Linked DNA regions of Canis lupus familiaris. The protein of the gene in region 1 purifies or fractionates together with the protein of each later gene. This does not show direct contact. Links are inferred from orthologs where the notes say so. Each region holds a gene or a part of one and is shown in the gene's direction. Other genes may lie near its edges.

What was found.
Region 2: the proteins of ZC3H4 (region 1) and WDR82 purify together in Homo sapiens (affinity purification with western blotting; 4 studies listed by BioGRID and IntAct, with this or other methods). This does not show direct contact. The link is inferred for Canis lupus familiaris from reciprocal best matches to the Homo sapiens genes ZC3H4 and WDR82.

What each region holds. Positions count from the first base shown.
Region 1 is NC_049222.1:109,556,838-109,561,402, forward strand, and holds the start of ZC3H4 (zinc finger CCCH domain-containing protein 4), read left to right. Parts: upstream 1-1,548; coding exon 1,549-1,709; intron 1,710-1,771; exon of another isoform or gene 1,772-1,786; coding exon of another isoform or gene 1,787-1,839; intron 1,840-1,845; exon of another isoform or gene 1,846-1,960; coding exon of another isoform or gene 1,961-1,974; intron 1,975-3,147; exon of another isoform or gene 3,148-3,171; coding exon of another isoform or gene 3,172-3,209; intron 3,210-3,302; exon of another isoform or gene 3,303-3,458; coding exon of another isoform or gene 3,459-3,481; intron 3,482-4,453; coding exon of another isoform or gene 4,454-4,565. Other genes in the region: SAE1 (SUMO-activating enzyme subunit 1), read right to left, coding at 4,454-4,565. UniProt on the Homo sapiens protein: RNA-binding protein that suppresses transcription of long non-coding RNAs (lncRNAs). LncRNAs are defined as transcripts more than 200 nucleotides that are not translated into protein.
Region 2 is NC_049241.1:37,911,950-37,915,752, forward strand, and holds part of WDR82 (WD repeat-containing protein 82), read left to right. Parts: intron 1-2,851; coding exon 2,852-2,951; intron 2,952-3,424; coding exon 3,425-3,541; intron 3,542-3,776; coding exon 3,777-3,803. UniProt on the Homo sapiens protein: Regulatory component of the SET1/COMPASS complex implicated in the tethering of this complex to transcriptional start sites of active genes.

The sequences.
Region 1 (4,565 bases):
CCTGGAGACCCGGGATTGAGTCCCACGTCAGGCTTCCCGTGCATGGAGCCTGCCTGTGTCTCCGCCTCTCTCTCTCTCTGTGACTATCATAAATAAAAATTAAAAACAACAAAAAAAGGATGACATTAAACCCCAGGATTCAGCTAAATGGGAGTAGTAGTTCCTCTTAGTACAGCTGTGAGGGTCTTAGTCCAGCTTTACGCTTGCACACCGTTTGAACCAGGTCGATCGCTCCCTCCCGAAGCACTTATTGCGAAACTTCCCGGTACCACGCTCCAAGTTCTGAAACTTCCCGGAGGCAGTACCAAGGCCCGCCTCTCTCGCACCGCCCTAGGTGACGTCACCGACCGAGGTCTCTAATGACGTCAGCTCCGGGCCGGCTCGGCTCCATCCTCCCCTTCTCCGGAAACCTACAACTCTCGGCACCCGGCCTCCAGCTTTCGGTTATTTTTTTTTCTCTTCGTAGCCCGAATTCCTTCCCTCCCATTCTCCCACCTAAAACTTTCAGCTCTTCCCGCCTTCCCTCCAGCTGGCAATTTTCGGTTCTTCCCGCTTGCTCTCGGCCGAATTTCCCACCCTTTTACTCTGTAAATCGCCTTTCGAGCCCCGCCCTTCGGCCTTTTCCGTCTAAATCCCTCTTTCGGCTAATTCCGCCTCCTGCCGTCCACCTCGGATGCCGCCTTCGGCTCCTTCCGGATCGCCTCAGTTCCTTGTTTTTCTCCCCCCAACTCCGTCCTGGTCCGCTTCGGCTATCTCCGGCTCCCGCGGCTTTCCATCTATCCTTTAGCCACACCCACGCTGCTACCTTCGGCTCTTTCCGCTCCCCCCCGTCTCCCGCTCAGGCGCTTTCGGCTCTTTCCGCCTTGCTTCGGCCTCACTCTCTCCCTTCGGGTCTTTCCGCCGCCCTTCGGGAGCGGGCCGGTGCCCCTCTCCACGTGACGCCGCCTCCGCCTCCTCCTCCCAGTTCCCCCTCCCACCTCGCCCTTCCTCCCGCCTCAGCCTCCCGGCTCCTCTGGGCCGAGCCGCCATTTTGTGTGAATTTCAGACTGCGGCGGGGGCCGAGCAGCCGGGGCACCGAGGGCGGGCAGACAGACAGACAGTCGGCCCGTCTCCGCAGCCCGTTTCCTCTCTCCTTAAAATCCTTTTTTTTAACCCCCTCGCTCGCTCTCCTCTTCTCCCCTCTCCCCTCGCTTGCTCCATCGCGCGCGGCCCGCGCTAATTACACCCAACCACCCACCAGTGTCCGTGTCCCCCGGGTCCCCCGCCTGTGGGCCCGCGGGGGAGGTGTGTGTGGGGGCTCTCGCCCCGATGAGGGCCCCGCGCCCGTGAGCGAGTGACCCCAGAGGCGGGCTGCGGAGAAAGGCGGCGAGCGGCCCGCCGAGGCCTAGGCCGCGCGGCCTACGCGGAGGTCGGCGCAGAGGTGATTCCGAAACCGAAAAAATATATACCCATTCCTATCAGGAGCCCTCAGAGCTGAAGTGTGCCCCTCCCGCCACGCCCAAGCAGTCCTTTTTCGTGCATTAACATCCCCTCCCCCCCAAAGGAACTATGGAGGCCGCGCCCGGGACCCCCCCGCCGCCACCATCAGAGTCGCCGCAGCCGCCATCGCCGCCGCCGCCATCAACGCCTTCGCCTCCTCCGTGTTCCCCCGACGCCTGCCCGGCCGCCCCGCACCTCCTCCACCACCGCCTCCCGCTCCCTGACGACAGGTCAGGCCCCCGGCCCGGCCGGGGCAGCGTCCCCGGGGGGAGGAAGAGGAGGAGGAGGAGGAAGGGGGGCGGCCGCCATGTTGGGCCGGGCCGCGGAGGAGGAGGAGGAGGAGGAGGAAGGGCGGGGTCGGTGGGTGTCTCTCGCTCGCTCGCTCTTTCTCGCTTGCTTTCTCTCCTGGCCTCATGCGTTTCCCCCCCCTCGCGGCGCTCGCCCGCTCTCCCTCGCTCTCGCTCTGTCTTTTTTGGGCGCCATGCTGAGGGGAAGGTGAGGAGGCGCCCCCGGACCCCCGCGCCCGCCCGCCCGCCCTGGGGAGGGGGCGCTGGGGGGGGGCGCTGCGGAGGCCCACGGGGGTCCTGGCTGCCCCAGCGCCCGGAGCTGGCAGCCATGGGCCCGCCTGCCCGTCGCCTGGCTTCGGGGAAGGGGATGGGGGAGGGGCTCCCGGACCCTTTTGGTGGTGGTGGGGATCTCGAGGAGTATCCCCGCTCTTAGGGGTTTGGAGTTGGGGGTCTCCCAGTCCCTGGCAGTATCCTTTCTCTTGGGGGAGGTGTGCCCTGCCCTACTTGGAGAGGTACCCTAGTTTTCTTAGGCAGAAAGTGGGGTTTCGTTTAGTCCTTTTTTCATCCTTTTAGTGGGGGGGGTCCTTAGGGTGGGGGCACTCGCACTTTTATTTTTTTTTGGCGGGAGGTGGTTCCTAGTTATTCCCTAGAGGGCAAAATTGGTGGTGGTGGGGGGGTGCGGATCTCTAGCTCCTTTGATGGAAATCCCTGCCTCCTTTTGGGGAGAAGCCCCTTCCCCGTATTTTTCCTTAAAGGCAAGGGTTCTCTAGATTTTCGTAGGTAGATGATGCGTTTTTGGAGGGGGGGGGGTGAGGTTTGGTTTCCCTGACTTGGAGGGGAGAGGAAGTTGGTCTCTTCTTTCTCATGGGTTCCCTCCTCTTTGGGGCTAAAATGGGGCGCCATCCCTTCCGGGAGAGAAAATTAGGGTTTTTTTTTAGTGTTTTGGCAGGGGTGAAAGGGAGCGCCCCCCATCCCTTCCTCTTTATAAAGTGCGAAATGGGTTCGCCCCACTCCCTTCCCTGGAGGGTGATAAAAGGGCCAGCCTGGCGCGTTTCAGGGCCCTCGTTTGCCCTGCTCCAGCAGAGGGTTGGGTGCAGGGTTTACCCTCCCTTTCCCGGTGGGGCAGAGGAAGAGGTATCTAGAGACTGGGTTTGGAAATGGAAGGTTTTCAGCCGGCAGGAAAGGCAGCCTGAGGAGGAGTGGGGGTGGGGAGGGGAAGCGATCTCGCTGGACAGATAGATGGCTGCCCCACAGCAGCCCGGGCTGGGGAGCCGCTTGAGGACCCTCTCCTAGATCAGGGGTCTTAGCTAGGGCCTCCTTGCCAGGCACCATGGCCCCTTCTCCCCACTTCCACCTCCCCTTTTCCCTTTCTCCTTCACAGACCATACTTTGCCTTTTAAAAGAAATGCCACCCACATTCAGAGACACAAGTGCAGCAGTTTGGTGAGCTTTTACAAAAAAAATTTTTTTTTTTTTTTTTGGTTTTCTGTTTTGTTCTAATTAAATGTATCGTCCTGGGAATCGCAGCCCATCGCAGCCTGCCTCCAGTTCAAGGAAATAAACAGATTAGCAAAGGTCTGTGCGCTAAGCCCACGTTGGGTTTCCGGGCCCCCTCTTGGGGGCAGGTGCATTACTCAAAGGTGCTTACACGCTTTATTCGACCTCTAAGGAGTTCTCTTATGTCAGAAGTGTATGTCTTACAATGGGTTGGGATGGTAAGTAGCCTCTTTTATTGAGTAATTCAATTATCTCCCTCTTTTTGTCCCTTTTCCTGCCTGCCTTCCTCCTGCCTTTAAAGACCAAAGTGATGCTTGAGTGAATTTATATGTTCGAATCAGGATTCTAACCCAGTTGAGCCCTTTTAGACTTGCACATCCTTTCTATCTTTAGTTTTTTTAATTTGTCGTACACAGTTTTCTCAAAGGAAAAAAAAAGCGTTACTGTAACATGACAAAAACTTATGTAAAAGACCCGTAGGTTTTCAAGCCCTTGGTTTCCCTATCTCCGTTTCAGTCCATTGCTTTGTCTCCAGCCTTCATCTTTGAAGAAAGTGGATACTTCAGATCCATTTGGTAGGAGACAAGGTTAACTGAATTCGGTTTATGATACTTGCATTCGAGTTAAGGTTCTCCCCTCCCTCCACCCCTACTACTACCCCCCCCTCCCAAAAAAAGATTGTGGTTCAAGTAGATCCAATTTGTTCCTTTTACTCCCAATGTCTCTTATGGTGATGGACGTTTAAATTGAGCAAGTCATTTGTAAAGTACTGTTTAAGCACCGAATCTGTAAAGCGTGTCAAGCCCCAATCTCCTCTCCCTGTCTCCACTGTTCCTTTGTTCGAAAGCACATGCCTGACCGTGAAAAGTTGATGCAAACACGCCCAGTCATGGTGGAGAGAACACTTCCTCCAGCCCCCTGCACCCCCCTCCCCACACATACAAGATAAAAACAGCAACAGAAATGACTTGCAGAACCAAACAAGTACTTCTGATGTGTTTTACAAGCATAAGTTCTTCGTTAAAAGACAAAACACGTTGAAGTTCCATTTTCCGTCTTCCCCACTTTTGGTCCCTAATGTACTTTGGTAGCAAAAACTTTATAACACACAGCCCCATTTTCCCCTCTGAAAGATCCTGTTTCCTTTTTTTTTTTTTTCGTTCTTAGGAGAAAAACAAAAGTTCACTCACGTTGGGTTGAGGAACCTTAAGCTGCAATTTAGTGGGCCACTGGTCTTACTCTTTTCTCTCCATATGCTCACAGCTCCACTAATGTGAAGTGGTGATCTTAGGTCTGTAAAAT
Region 2 (3,803 bases), on another chromosome or scaffold:
CTCGTTGTTACATGCCTTGGGCCCACTCTTCTCTGTTTGTGTCATATTTCCTCATCACTGTTCTTCTAATTATCCTGACTCAAAGCCTCTGTTACTTGTTTGCTTTCTTTCCCTGCTTTCACATGTAGTGAGCTGTTAATCCTATTGATTCTGCCTAGGTTTAACCTCATGTGTCACTTCGCTCTGTTCTTTCCTTTTCTTCTGCCCCAGCTCATGCCCTATATCAAGTGAATTATTGGCAAATCCTAATTAATCTCCCAATCCCTCATCATCCTGCTTTAGCATCCTATGTACAGCTCTGACCACTTCACAGTCTCTGCCCGGAAACTTTAATGGTTCGCTGTATCTGTCTGCTCCTTTCCTTTGGAATCAAGCTTGCCTCCCTTCAGCTCTCATTTTCTTAGCATTATCTCCTGACATTTGAGTTAAGGTGAACTCTGGGCTGCTTCCTGAATGTGGACCTCATGCCTTCCTACCTGGCACTTTTTCTGTAAGGGCATTTCCCGATGAAATCCTGTCCTCTATGTGTGCTGCTTCTTCTGGAAGGCCTTCTCTGACCATCTCTCAGATTTCTTTGGGCTAGTTAAGCTTTCTTATTTCTTAAAGTTGAGGTTTTGCTTCTCATTGTATATCCTTTATCTCTTAGCATAGAGTCTTGTGCCAAGACAGATTTCCTCTGAGCTTTTGCCCTGAATACCATGGCATTAAAATTACATGTCCACATGCATTCTGCTCACTCTTTTATTACCACCTCAGCATTCAGGAAATTTTGGCTTACGATATCTTTAAATGTTTAAGTTGAGGAACTAGTCCAGATATTAGTTGAGTTGAATTGTTAGAAATTCTTCTTTAGATAAAAACTTTATTTAAAAAAGTGTATTTTCTCATTTTCTATTCATGGCATAAATTTTAATTCTTTCCAGTGGCACGAAAACTTCCTGAACCCCTTACAGTGTCATCCAAAACTTGAACAACTTCTATTTCTAGATTTTTTTTTTTTTTTTTTAAGTTCATTCACGGGATCCCTGGGTGGCGCAGCGGCTTAGCACCTGCCTTTGGCCCAGGGCGCGATCCTGGAGACCCGGGATCGAATCCCACATCAGACTCCCGGTGCATGGAGCCTGCTTCTCCCTCTGCCTATGTCTCCGCCTCTCTCTCTCTGTGTGACTATCATAAATAAATAAAAATTTAAAAAAAAGTTCATTCACAAATAAGCTGTGCGATTTTGGTCATCTTTTTGACTTCAAGCTTTTGTCAAAATGAGATAGCACAACACCAACATTTCTTTTATAATCTTCATCTATAATATCAGCTCCTGTATCTGTGAAGTGTTTTACAGCCAAGCCAGAATGTATGGAACTACTCTTCCATAATTCGGAAGGAAGAGTTATCCAAATGTCTGTTTTCACAAGGGCTTTCTCTGTAGGTGGTACTGTAGAATCATAGGTGCTATATAGGTCCTAGCTCCCCTCATTTGGGTTGGGGTTGTGGTGTGTTCTGAGAGGCAGATGAAGTAGAGCCACGTGCCGTCCTTCCTTGCAGGCCAGGCCCAAATGCTTGGGAGGCAGTGTGTATCTTCAGAGCAGGGTGTGGTAGAGTGAGAAAATGAGCAGAGGGGACAAGAGAGCTCAGGGTGAACCTTTTGAAGAGAGGTCTTCTAGTGAGTGACTCTTAATGCTATAACCACAAAAGGGGACCCATATCAAAAATACAGTTGCTATTAGCACAGACCTGTGGCTTAGTAAGTGTGGTGCCCAAGCCAACAGTCTTATCATCACCTAGGAGCTTGTTAGAAAGAAGTACAAGTTCTCAGACCTCACCCCAGACCTACTGGATTAGAAGTTCTAGGAGTAGATCCCAGTAGTCTGTGTTTCAGTCCACCCCTCGGGTGATGCAAATGGCACTCAGGTTTGAGACTGTTAGTGTAGTCCTCAAAACCCTAAGGAATCATGAGAGTTTTTTGTTTTGTTTTTTAATTGTAATATAGTTTAATACCATAAATTCATCCTCTCAGAGTACCCAGTTCAGGTTTTTAGTATATTCACAGAGTTGGGCAACAATCATCACTAATCCAAAACATTTTCATAACTCCCAAATAGAAACCCTGCACCCATTAGCAGTCACTTCTCATTCCCTCTTCTCAAGTCCCCAGCAATCACTAATCTACTTTCTGTCTCTATAGCTTTGCTTATTCTGGATATTTTGTGTAAATGAGACACTGTGTGGCCTTTTATGTCCAGTTCTTTCATTTACTATGTTTCCAAGGTGAATACATGTTGTAACATGAACCAGGGCTTCATTTCTTTTTGTTAGCAAATAATGTTTTATTATATGTATGTACCACATTTTGCTTATCCATTCATTAGTTGATGGGCATTGGGGTTGTTTCTACTCTTCGGGTAATATGAATAATGCTGCTGTGGACATATGTGTACATTTTTGTGTAGACATACTTTCATTGCCCTTGGGTATATACCTAGAGGTGGAATTTCTGGGCCCTTTAGTAATTATCTGTCTTTAACTTTTTGAAGAACTGGAAAACTTAAAAAGCAACTGCACCATTTTACATTCCAGTCAGCAATGCGTGAGAGTTCTAATTTCTCCATATCCTTACCAACACTTATCTATTGTGAAGTAATATCTCCTTGTGGTTTGATTTACATTTTTATGTTGTAGTTTTGTTTCTTTTCTCATTATATTAGTTGCCTTTGGTTATTCCAGATTACTTGTATATGTATGTTTCTTAAAATGGCAGTTTTGGAAGAACAGGTGTAGATAGAGGGGTTTAGAGTTCACATCCAATTTTTGCAAATATTTTGCTTCAACTCCTATTTATCTTGATGCATTGCAGGGTGGTGGCCTTGTCCATGTCACCTGTGGATGACACTTTCATTTCTGGGTCTCTTGATAAGACCATTCGACTCTGGGATCTCCGGTCTCCTAACTGCCAGGTAATGGTACCTCACAGTTACACTTTGAGTGTTTTCTATGGTAGGCAATGTCATCAGCTCCTCCTCTCAAAGAAAGGAGAAAGTAATGATTCTATTTTGAGATCCCAGAGTCTTTCTAAACTTTGGAGAAAATCTGTCTTCCTGGTAGGTAGCTGGTAATTAAGCAAATACACTAATCCAGTGCATATTGTGTTATGCTCTGTGGCTTTTTGCTTTCAAAACCGTTTTCCTAAAACCTGTGAGCTATAGCTTTTATTTGAATTCAGTGTTTATAGAATTGTACAGTTAGGGCTGATGAAGCTAGTTTTATGGAGATGTGTTTGTAAAAACCCTCATTTTAGTTTTTTGCTTTTTCATTCCCTAGGTAGGCAGGTATCCTTTTTTGTGTCCCTTTCTTAGTTTTTATTGGAAAAAATTAATTATATAATGGTAGAATCCTGGGTTCATTAACTTTTCTTTTTATTTTTTCTTAGGGCCTCATGCATCTACAAGGCAAGCCAGTTTGTTCCTTTGATCCAGAAGGGTTAATTTTTGCTGCAGGTGTCAATTCTGAAATGGTTAAACTTTATGACCTTCGCTCTTTTGATAAGGTAAAACCTTTGAGTCTTTGAGCTATCTTGACATTACAGAAGTTTTGAAGGGTAAGATGGGAGCCTTTTCCATGGTAGAGGAGGTATGTGGTAGACTTTAGAGAATGTTGGAGCAGTAGTTCTCCCTCTGCGTTTCCTAGTCAAAAAGAAATCTAAAGGGACAGAATCAGAGTTGGCTCTGGCAAGAGGAACACTGATGGGCCTTGGGCTGGGGCTGCTGTCTTTATCATTTCAGGGGCCATTTGCGACTTTTAAGATGCAG